Drosophila melanogaster: one gene and its partner. Changing the gene in region 1 together with any one later gene gives a genetic interaction. Each region holds a gene or a part of one and is shown on either strand. Other genes may lie near its edges. The genes, in order: CG17760 and TkR99D.

Region 1 (5,449 bases):
TCTCGGAGACTGCATCTAGTCCGAGCTCCTCCTCCTGCACCAAAAGGGCGCGGACGGATTGCACACCCGAGCTGAAGAATAAGCGAGCTTTCCTGTTCAATAAACTGGTGCAATTGATGCCACCGAGCATGGTCCAACCTGAACGCAACCTTAGCGACTTTGTGGTCATGTAAATGTTAACGTGCCAAAACCGATTCAATACGAGCCCCCATCCAAGATTATATTTAGCTTATTAAGTGTGTGAGAGTTTTGTTTTAAACTGTTGATCATGATGTGATGTTTAATTCGCTTGTTTGCCCATATAAGGTTCTACGGTTAATGCAAAGCATGACATATATATGATTTTATTGTGATAGTTCACGTGTACTGAAACCCCGGCTAAAAGCAGCTGGATTCATAGTTAGTGCGTTTAGGCTGAATAAGAACAGTATGTAAACCGAGTTATATTTAATGGATTGTATATGTAAACATAAGATTGAAATAAAAAACAGTTTTTTAACGTCCAAAAGCAACAAGGCGCATTTAATATACATCAGTTTATAATATAATAGCAAACTTATAAATAATTAAAAAGTTATTTTCTGTTTTACATACATTTATTTCCCTATTTTTAAAATATGATACACAAAGGTTGTTACTCATCAATATGATTTAAATAGACATTTTGTAGAAATCGAGGTCACAGCAAATTAGTTTCACTTAAATGCAATTCCAGAATTGTGTCCTTGACAGCAGTGAACACGAACTTAATATTTTCAGTATCTACAAAACCAAAAAACACTTTTTTAGTTATTGAGTGTAAAGCGTCCTTAGTTTTTATGTTGAGACACAATAAAACACAAGCAAGGAATTCAAAAAGATGTGTTTTTTTCAAAAATCAGAATATAAAGTTGACTTACTTGTAGCAACGGTGAAATGAGGATAGATGCACTTGTAAGGATCAGGATTCACGCTAGTAAACATGTACAATATGAATTCTCGGGCCGCCTTAGCATCCTTCTTTGGACCTGGTTAATAGGATGTCGAATAAAATCCTTTATATGACATGTACATACGTTTGATTGATGTCAACTTACCATTATATTCAGGAAAATAGTCTGCCAAATGCGTTGACAATATTTTCTTTTTAAATAAATCCTCCTTGTTTAGAAACAGAATAACGGACGAGTGTTGAAACCATGAAAACGATATTATATTGTGAAATAAAGCTTTAGATTCCTTCATACGATTCTGAAATAAGGAATTTGGTTATTCATTGGAAGAAATTGAATTTCAAAAGAATACATCATTCTCCGATTCAGCCAAGGATAGATCAAACTCGGACATGGCAACCAAAAACATAATTGATGTCACATTGGAAAAACAATGAATCCACTTTCTTCTCTCCGTTCGCTGACCAGCGACGTCCACCAATCTGTGTTGTGTTGTACGATTTAATTGAAGTTATTAATTTTACTATATTTCAAACAAATACCTTATCAGAAAACCGTCCAAATTGAAGGGATACTCAACAATATTGGTTGTTGGCGCTCGAACATGAAGAATGTCCTGATCAGTGGCCTGGTAATCACTCCGTTCAATTCGCGCTATGTCATTCAAAAAGCTAATTGGATGAAAAATGAAGCGATTTTAATTTAAGTTATTTATTTAATTATGCTTAATACAAATGCTTAGATAAAATGTAACTATTATCACATTCAAGACACATAAAATAAGCAGAAAAAGAGTTGATTTTAAATGGGTTTTCTGTGCACGATTACCCATGTGTGCCTCTCAGATATTTCTTAGTAAATCAATCCGCTCACTCACTATTCAGTTGAATCAGTCAGCTGATATTCCCTACGACGATTGTAGCACTCCTTGATGCCAGCATCTTTCCAAAGAGTTTTGATGGCATTCAAGTAGGGCGCCTCCAGTCTGGTAACTGTCTTGTAATCGATGCTCTTCACCAGATCGGCAAGTTTCTGTGGATCATAAGATTTCGTTGGAGGCAAATCAAAATATGTATTATTGCTTCAGGAATTAGTCTTACACTATGCTCCTGCTGACCGTAGGGAATTCGCAGAGTATCCATTGCACTGATCATCGACTGTATGGCCATGAATATGTTTTGGAAAACATTTTTGGTGAACTGCTTCCTCTCCTTGTCCAAAAATCCTTTGCCGTGAATGATGCGCATTTGTTTGATGAATGTGGTCTTGCCCGATTCACCTGTGCCTGCGATTGTGGATTTGTTGGGTATATACACAGGCCATGAAATTAATTATTCTACGATTTCCCTTACCCAGGACCAATAGCTTAAGTTCACGTCGAGCTTTCTTCTTTTCCGCTTTCAGGAACTTATCAATTTCCCTGCTGATACGCCTTTCCTCACAAGCCTGGTCCGATAGGCAGCAGTCCATGGTTATTCCTGCAGGCTTATTCTCTGGTTCCTTGATTATTTCGATTCTTTATTTGTTGAGTAAAGAACGCAATTGGTCAATATAAATACGCCTTTCTTTGATCTTTACTTGATCGTTGCAAGTGTGTAACACGTAGAAGGATAAGTTTTCTATCCTGTAGCTTAATTAATTAATATCAACAATTATAGATCCTGTCCGTTTGTCCGTATGTCGGGATCTTGGGAACGATATGGCTAGCAAGTTCACTGAACCCGAATCTAGAATGCTGATTCCAGTGACACATGGGTAATTTACTATGACGACTCCGAAAGTTTGGCCTTGAAAAATATCATATGAAATAAGGCTCTGCCTATACGAATATAATATTATCTTCGCTTTGGGTATTAATACAAAACAAAAGTGTTACTCACTCCAAAATATCGAGCTGAACATTTTGTCGAGTTGTAATTATTAAATGTATGCCGAAACCCAAATTGGCATTGTTTTAAATGAGTTTATAAAATATTTCATAAATAAAATAAAGCAACTATAATTTTTTGATTCTGTCGACTGAAATGAATCACTCATACATACAATATATTATGTATGTACGATTATAAATCCTTCCTTCTGCGAGTTCCGGATAACGGAAGTGATAACACGTTATTTTATAACTGACTCACGTGCTTACAAAATATTTTCTTTTTATTTTTTAGATACAATTTTACATTTATTTCATCGTTTTTTGGTCGTTTTTTTTCGTGCTTTTTAGGTTCGCTTTTGAAGTGATGAAACGATTTATTGAAATTTAGTCACATGAAAGCACTATTATTAATTTCTAACTTTTTTGTAGATTTTAAATTTGTTTCACCAATTTTACGGGTTTACTTAATTTTTTTATTTTTTATTCCTGTTCTGTAGGTTATATATAAAATTTTAAACTTCCGAAACGTGGACTAAACAGAATTTTTGCAAAATTTGTATATTCTGTCTTGAGAGTTTTTCTAAGACTAATTGGGCGGCGCTGGGCGAATTTACATTTTCACCCGCACGATAAAATTGTTGAGAACTGAGCTTACTTAATTCGCCCTACTCAAGTCACTAAGAGCGATTTTTAAGAGAATTTGTTTATCTCTTCCCATTACCTTACACTTAGTTCACTCTTTTAATGTAGATTAAGTTAATTTGTAATGGCAATAAAAACACAAATAATTATTTCTAAGAGCCCAACAATGCGCGGCTCTTATAAGATGAACTGGTTTTTATTAATCCACGAATACCAAACTGTAAACGCCTAAAACCATATTAAAAACTAAATTTATAAGACATGCAAATAATTTCTTAATCGATAGAGGTAAAGAGAATGTATAAACATTGAATATGTGTGCTTATAACAAAGTAAGAGCAAAATTTATTTTTATTATCTACATGGGGAGACCACATAAAAGTTGGGGATCCACACCCATATTAAAACAGATTACTTTCTTTTAGGTTGCATTGCAAAATTGTATCCTTAACTGCAGCGAACACAAACTTAATGTTCTCCGTATCTAAAAATGAAATAAATAACTTAATTAGATGGGATTTGTAACGTATTATTTAGCTTTTTGTTAGGCTGTACGTTACTGCATTTACATTGTTTTTTCAAACGAGCAAAATACATAATCTCCCAATATAAGAACAGAACAAATGCATTTTAAGCCAAATAAATCAAGACAATACACTTACCTGTAGCACACGTAAAATGAGAATATATCTTTTTATATGTATCTAAACTAATGCTTTGAAACATACGTAGCACGTATTCCCTGGCCGCATATGCATCTTGTTTTGGACCTGTTTTGTAAAGAATTAAGTATTAAATATATTGATCAAAATTTGTGTGTAAATCCATATAACTTTTAACGCCTACCATCGTATTCTGGAAAATAGTCTACCAAATGCGAATACATTATTTTCTCCTCTAACACGTCCATCTTGTTAAGAAACAGAATGATTGAAGCATTTTTAAACCATTCAAAGGTTATGATAGTATGAAATAGAGCCTTTGATTCCTCCAGTCGATTCTGCAATAATCGGATTTTATTATTGTTGGCGAATAATTAATAAAATGCCTTCAAGTTATACATCGTTTTCGGATTCCATCATGAACTGATCATATTCCGACAGTGCTGCCAAAAATATAATCGATGTTACATTCGAAAAAAAGTGAATCCATTTTCTTCTCTCAGTTCGCTGTCCTGCTACATCCACCATGCTGTTTATAAACGAGAAATTTGTTAATACAATAAAATTAATAAAACTGCCCCTAAAAATTTAATATATACCTAAGTACATAGCCATCCAACTCAAAAGGATAAACGGTAATATTAAATGTAGGCTCTCGAGCACGCAGAATGTCCTGATTAGTTGGCAAGTAATCAGCCTGTTCAATTCGACCTATGTCACCCAAAAAACTGAAATAAGAAAATGAGAAAAAAGCAATTTTGGGTATCGCTCCTGGTGTCCCAACTCACTATTCAGTGGAATCAGTCAGCTGATATTCCCTACGACGATCATAGCACTCCTGGATGCCAGCATCGTGCCAAAGCGTTTTGATGGCATTCAAGTATGGATCCTCGAACGTGGTAACGGTCTCGTAATCGATGCTCATCACCAGATCGGCCAGTTCCTGTGGATCGTAAGATGTTGTTTAAGATTCAGTGACTTCAATTAGATCAATGTTTCACTTACACTATGCTCTCCCTGACCGTAGGAAATCTTCAGCATATCCATGGCCTTGATCATTGACTGCATGGCCATGAATATGTTCTGAAAAACCAGCTTGATGTATCCACGCTTGTCCTCGTCCGAGTAACCGCTGCCGTGGATAATACGCATCTGTTTGATGAATGTGGACTTCCCGGACTCGCATGCGCCTGTGGATATACGCACATTGTATCCTTGATACATCCCAATACATCCCACTCCACGTACCCAATAGCAGTAGTTTGAGTTCCCGTTTAGATCTTTTTTTCTCAAGGCGCAACTGTTTGTCAATTTCCTCATTGATACGCCTTTTTTCCATT
Region 2 (5,131 bases), on another chromosome or scaffold:
AGCAATCCGAGCAAAAATAAATACGTAAGAAGAGAAAATAGACGGGTGCTGCAGTTCCGCCCAAATGTCCAAGACTCTGGAGCTATGGATCTTTGGAGCTCTGGACTCGGACTACAATAAATTCAGTGCCCCAGCACCCACTTAGTCAATTTATTGCAATTATGTGTAAATTGAGGAACAAAGCGGAGACAGAAGTGAAGAAAGGCTACCTCCGATTCCCCATTCCCCCCATTCGATTCCCAGCGCTGTGGCTCTCACTCCCATTTCAATCATCTGCCAGTCGGTGTATATTCTTTGGCAGATCTGCTCGGCGTGGAAAGATGGGGAGCAGTGGCGAGGCCGAGGGGCAACTGAGTACATTTCAGTTTTGAATTGTATTGCTTTTGCCCATTGAATGACTTCTCAGCTGGAGCTTTTAACTTTCACTTATTCAAAATTGATAGATTTTTTTCGTCTCCGGAAATATTAACCAATTCGCTCGACTTCATTTGGGAAAAAATTGAATTTTTATTCGGATCTACGATCAAATGAAATATTTGACAAAGGCCAAATGCCAAATTAAAGTTAAGCTTCACAAAGTCATAAATAACATGCTGCCACAAGTGTTATTTGCATATTGTTATGTGCAACATTTTATATTAGACACACAAAGTTGTTCAATGCCAATAAATTGGACAATTGTCTTGTGGACACATGTGCTGGGTGTGCGAACAATGCCATCGAATTAACCCATTTATTTAAAGGCTATCCCTGTGGAATACACGTCCTGTCCACCGACAAGGACACTGCATAGCTCGATGGGGCTGCATAAAAGAGGGACGAACTCAACTGAGCACCGCTAAAATATGCACATGATTCACGGACTTGTTTAGGACCGGCACTGCCTTCATTTAAATTCATTCGGGGCGGAGATGGTGAACTGGTGTCCAGCTGAAAGCTGAATGCTGAATGCTGAAAGCTGGGGAAGAAAGCCGAAGTTACACACGTCTCCGGCGCCAAAGGACCTGCTATGCTGCCCTCCACCTCCAGCAGCACATCCTCCTTCGCTCCGATGTCCAAAGTCCAGTGTCCACTGGCCAATGTCCAGTGTGGCCGGGCAAAGACGTCAGCAGTGGGGCGGATGCCGCATCGGTTTCAATTTAATTAAATGTTTTGATGCATGACAGCACTGTGGAGCAGCACTGGACATACGGAACATACGGCACCCCACTCACTTATTACTGATTCGCATTCGTATTCGCTTAAAGATACCCATCCGTTCACGCCTGCCTGAATCTTTAAAGGCCGCCTTTTGGGGCCAACTAATGGCCTCGGATCCCCTCCTGCTCCTCCGCAAGCAATTCGCGCTGAAAGGATTTCGGTTTGCTCAGCTGACCGTCGGCAAAGCTTTTGTGCGGATGCGTTCATTTGGCCGCCAAACAGCCATTTATCCGGATCCAAAGACCCCCGACCACATCCGACAGCCCACATCCCACATCGACATGCCTAAAACCACAGGACTTTGCCTCCTCACTAATCATAGTTGACATTAAATATTTAGAAGCGGAGAAAGTTGTGCCAGCCACTGATTGAGTTAGATGATGTCTGGAATCTCGGAGGAGCAATTAAGTGTGCTGTTTGGCCAGCGGATTCACTTGAAAGCGCTTCACTTCGAATTCGAAGGAAAGCTGGAAATGGACACTTCGAGTGAATTAATTTTCTTCAATTAAAGTGGCAATTATGTCGGGAGTTCACAAGCGAAATACCTTCGAGGTAATGAATGCCTTGATTTGATTGATGATTTATACTTAAATTTCCGATTGATTGCAGGGTGGAGTTCATTTGGCCACAAGTACTTGATTAAATTCAATTAATTAACTGCTCAAACACTTAATCAAGTTTTAACATCTAACGAAGAGATACACTTTCGTTTGCCTTTGGTTTACATTTTTCTTAAATATCAACTGTGTATGAACTCTATAAAATCCAGCCAGGAAGTTTGCATGCATTTAAGGCTTCTATTTACGTTCCCCTTAAAATTAAATGGCTTAAAAAAAAAAACAACCAGCGCTGAAACGCCTTCGACCCCAAAATAAATACATTTGAAACACTTTGCTTATTTGCATTATAAACATCAGAGCTGGGCACATGTGAAAATACCCAAGGGATAAGCCAATGCGCACGGTTTTATTTTATTTTACTTTATTTTATGGCACAGGATGTACGGAATTGGTGCGTTATTTAAAAAGATTATTTCCATTCCGCCGTGGGCCTAAAAAACGCAAATCGCAATCGAATTAATTGTCATTCCAGGAGATTTGCTCTTCCGACCAGATTTCCGAAATCTGAGATCATCGGAGAACCTTTTCATCGGGCAAAGTCAATTGGGTGTGATGGTTTTTGGCCATCGGTTAACTATTTCTCAGCTCACTGGAGTCGTGGAACTCGTTGCTCAAATTGAGTGGAAAATCGGGATGAATGGGAATGGCCTACAGTTTGATCTTTCGAATTGGGTTAGTCACTTGATTAGGCTCTCGATGTAATTACATTTCGAGCTAAAGTTACCAGGGCAGCCGAAAGTTGTCCACAAATAGCAGTTTTCTAATTACTTTGGCGACTCGAATTTCCATAAACTTGTAAACCAATTTCGGTTTGGTTTGTGCAATAAACTTTGCAATTCAAGCCACCACCTCCCGAAAACAATGTTTTTGTAATATGGAAAAACAATAATGAGTGGAAAGAGAATGAAAAAAAAAAAACAAAATACTTTGGGCAGTGGGAGACCGCTTACCAGGAACTATGCTGAAATCCCCACTTCTTCGCTCGGCCAACGCGGCGTATGAGCAATGTCAGCCAATTGCAGGCAGCGAATAACAAAGAAATCGTATTTAAAAATAAATTCCGCTGCTCGCCTTCTGCTGCTCTGTGGTTTCGGTGTTTATGTTTATTAGTTTTAATCAAAACACCAATTTGTATATTCACTTTAACGACTAGTTTATCGTTTTTGCGTGTTTGCTCGCTACGAAATTGAATTTGATTTTCAATCCACTGGGCCGAATTCAATTACGTTTACGGATCGACTGCCGGCGGCATTTCAGCCAGCTCTAAGCTGATTTTCCAGCATTTTTCCAACACTTCTCCGCCAGCTTCAGCTATCACCTATCATCAGCGAATTTCAGGAACCGAGAACCCGGAGAACCGACAAGTCCAAAAAATCCGGACCCGTCGCCTTTTCAGTTCGAACCGTACGCGCGCGAGTCTGCCGTTGAACTGAACGGAAAGCGGAAAACTGAATGCCAGCCGGAATTTTCTGAGGCTGTGCGCGCTGATATGTCGGTGTTATAATAAGGGCCACAAAAAAGTGGGCGGTTTTTTTTTCTGCGGCGGGGGGGGTTCCCGTGGACCTCGGGGACTCCGGCCGCTTGTTGCATATGTTGGGATGTTGCACTGGGGACTAGGGCTCACGTAACCCCTTTGCGTTGAGGGCCTTTTATTTTATCGGAGCAATGAGCAACGTTTCCATTTGAAAAGCGTTGAAATCTGCGACGGAATCGAACGGAAACCCGCCCAAATTCACCAGTGTTGCCGAGTGTTTTCTTTCTACGCCTGCGCCCTATCTTTTCCTCTCGCTCTGCCTTCGTTCGCTCTCTGTTGTCATACGGCTATTCGTAAACAATCCGGACTCCGGCGATTCTGCCACGTGCACGCCACGCACAAGCGGAAAATCAAATGACCAAGATGTCTTACAAAATATACACACATATGCACAATGAATATATCGCTTCCAAAACAGCACTTTCAAAGCGTTTAATACCACATTCAAAGGAAGATGTTTATCAATACACTCGAATAATTTGTTTTAGGTTTAGAATGCATGTTTACAAATTCAATAGGGGTATATCATTGAAATAGATTACACATCTTGATTATCAGTGCAAAGTGATTTGCTATTTTTGCTAAGGTAGCCAAGTCCTAAGGCTAAAATTCCCATTTCCCATTAAAATTCCACTTTCCCAAGTGGAAAGGCTACGAAAAATTTTGGATTAATTTATCAAAATATAGAATGTAATACCTCGTTGAGCTCGTAATTGCATGCCTAATCGATTGGCATTCAAGTTTTGTTGATTTTGAAAAATAAATTTTTGGCCAATTTTAGCAAATTTTAATGATGGTACCCCTTATCAAATTTGCGAAAATTGGTCCAAAAATTAATTTTTCGAAATCAATTAAAAAGTGATTTGGATCGATTGCTTAGGTCACAGGCTCCAAAAAACATGTATAAAACTGACTGTAATTATGATTTTAGCCAAATTATGGGTATAAAACCGCAAATTCTCCTATTTTCCATACAGAATATGTCTCTATTTACATTTTGATAAAACAATTACAATTTTACAATTACCATACATACAAAGAAATTGTTTTCAGTGCAGAGCGTATGTTTGTTAGTTTTGGCCAAATGACTTGGCTCTTTCACACCAGACAGCCGCAGGTGTTGGTGGCTGATCTGGCCAAAAATGCCTAAAGTAAGCAATGAATCCGAAATGCCTCCCCCTCTTCGCCAGATTCGGACGTCTTAATTTGCTGGCGGAGATGGAATCCCGCAACTTCATCCGCTGCACATGCATCAATGTCCCATCAATCACTCCATTTAGTTGTAACAACTGAGCAACGAATGGGTTGCATGTAAAATGAGATGACCTACACCATGGTTTGGCACACATATTCGACTGATCCAAGATGAAACAAGTCAACTTAACTAGCTTAGGTAACTATTTTCCAACGCTTTGAAGGCGATGTCTCATTTAGATTATTTTCTCGTCTTACATTTTGTGGAAGGAGGATACACAGTGAAAGCAGGAGGTCATTAAATTTCTTTATCTCTCGCTGACGTGCAGTCCATTGAACACATCCATAATGATTATGATGGACCAAGTTGAACTTGGTGGCTCGCACCGAGCTGCGAGTCCGAGTGTACGCCTGCAATGGCCAATATCCCGAGCAGCTGGGCATCATTAACTATCTGCAAGGATAACGCTCGTTACCAGTGCCATGCCCTGCTGATGACCCCATTTAATCAACGCTAAGCCCGTCTCGTCCTGCACCTCATCATCATCATCCTTCCCTGCCGCCCCCGCCCCCTCGTTGACCG

Evidence for each region.
Region 2: of CG17760 (region 1) and TkR99D, changing one suppresses a phenotype caused by changing the other (phenotypic suppression), as found in Drosophila melanogaster (one study listed by BioGRID).

The regions. Positions count from the first base shown.
Region 1 is NT_033778.4:12,623,752-12,629,200, reverse strand, and holds CG17760 (uncharacterized protein), read right to left. Parts: upstream 3,394-5,449; 5' UTR 3,065-3,393; intron 2,449-3,064; 5' UTR 2,403-2,448; coding exon 2,285-2,402; intron 2,218-2,284; coding exon 2,033-2,217; intron 1,965-2,032; coding exon 1,810-1,964; intron 1,604-1,809; coding exon 1,475-1,603; intron 1,415-1,474; coding exon 1,285-1,414; intron 1,231-1,284; coding exon 1,077-1,230; intron 1,008-1,076; coding exon 900-1,007; intron 763-899; coding exon 680-762; 3' UTR 582-679; downstream 1-581. Other genes in the region: muskelin, read left to right, coding at 1-173; CG30054 (uncharacterized protein), read right to left, coding at 3,849-3,931, 4,110-4,217, 4,294-4,447, 4,509-4,638, 4,709-4,837, 4,898-5,052, 5,115-5,299, 5,358-5,449.
Region 2 is NT_033777.3:29,966,213-29,971,343, forward strand, and holds the start of TkR99D (Tachykinin-like receptor at 99D), read right to left. Parts: upstream 3,236-5,131; 5' UTR 2,771-3,235; intron 1-2,770. UniProt on the Drosophila melanogaster protein: Receptor for tachykinin-like peptides.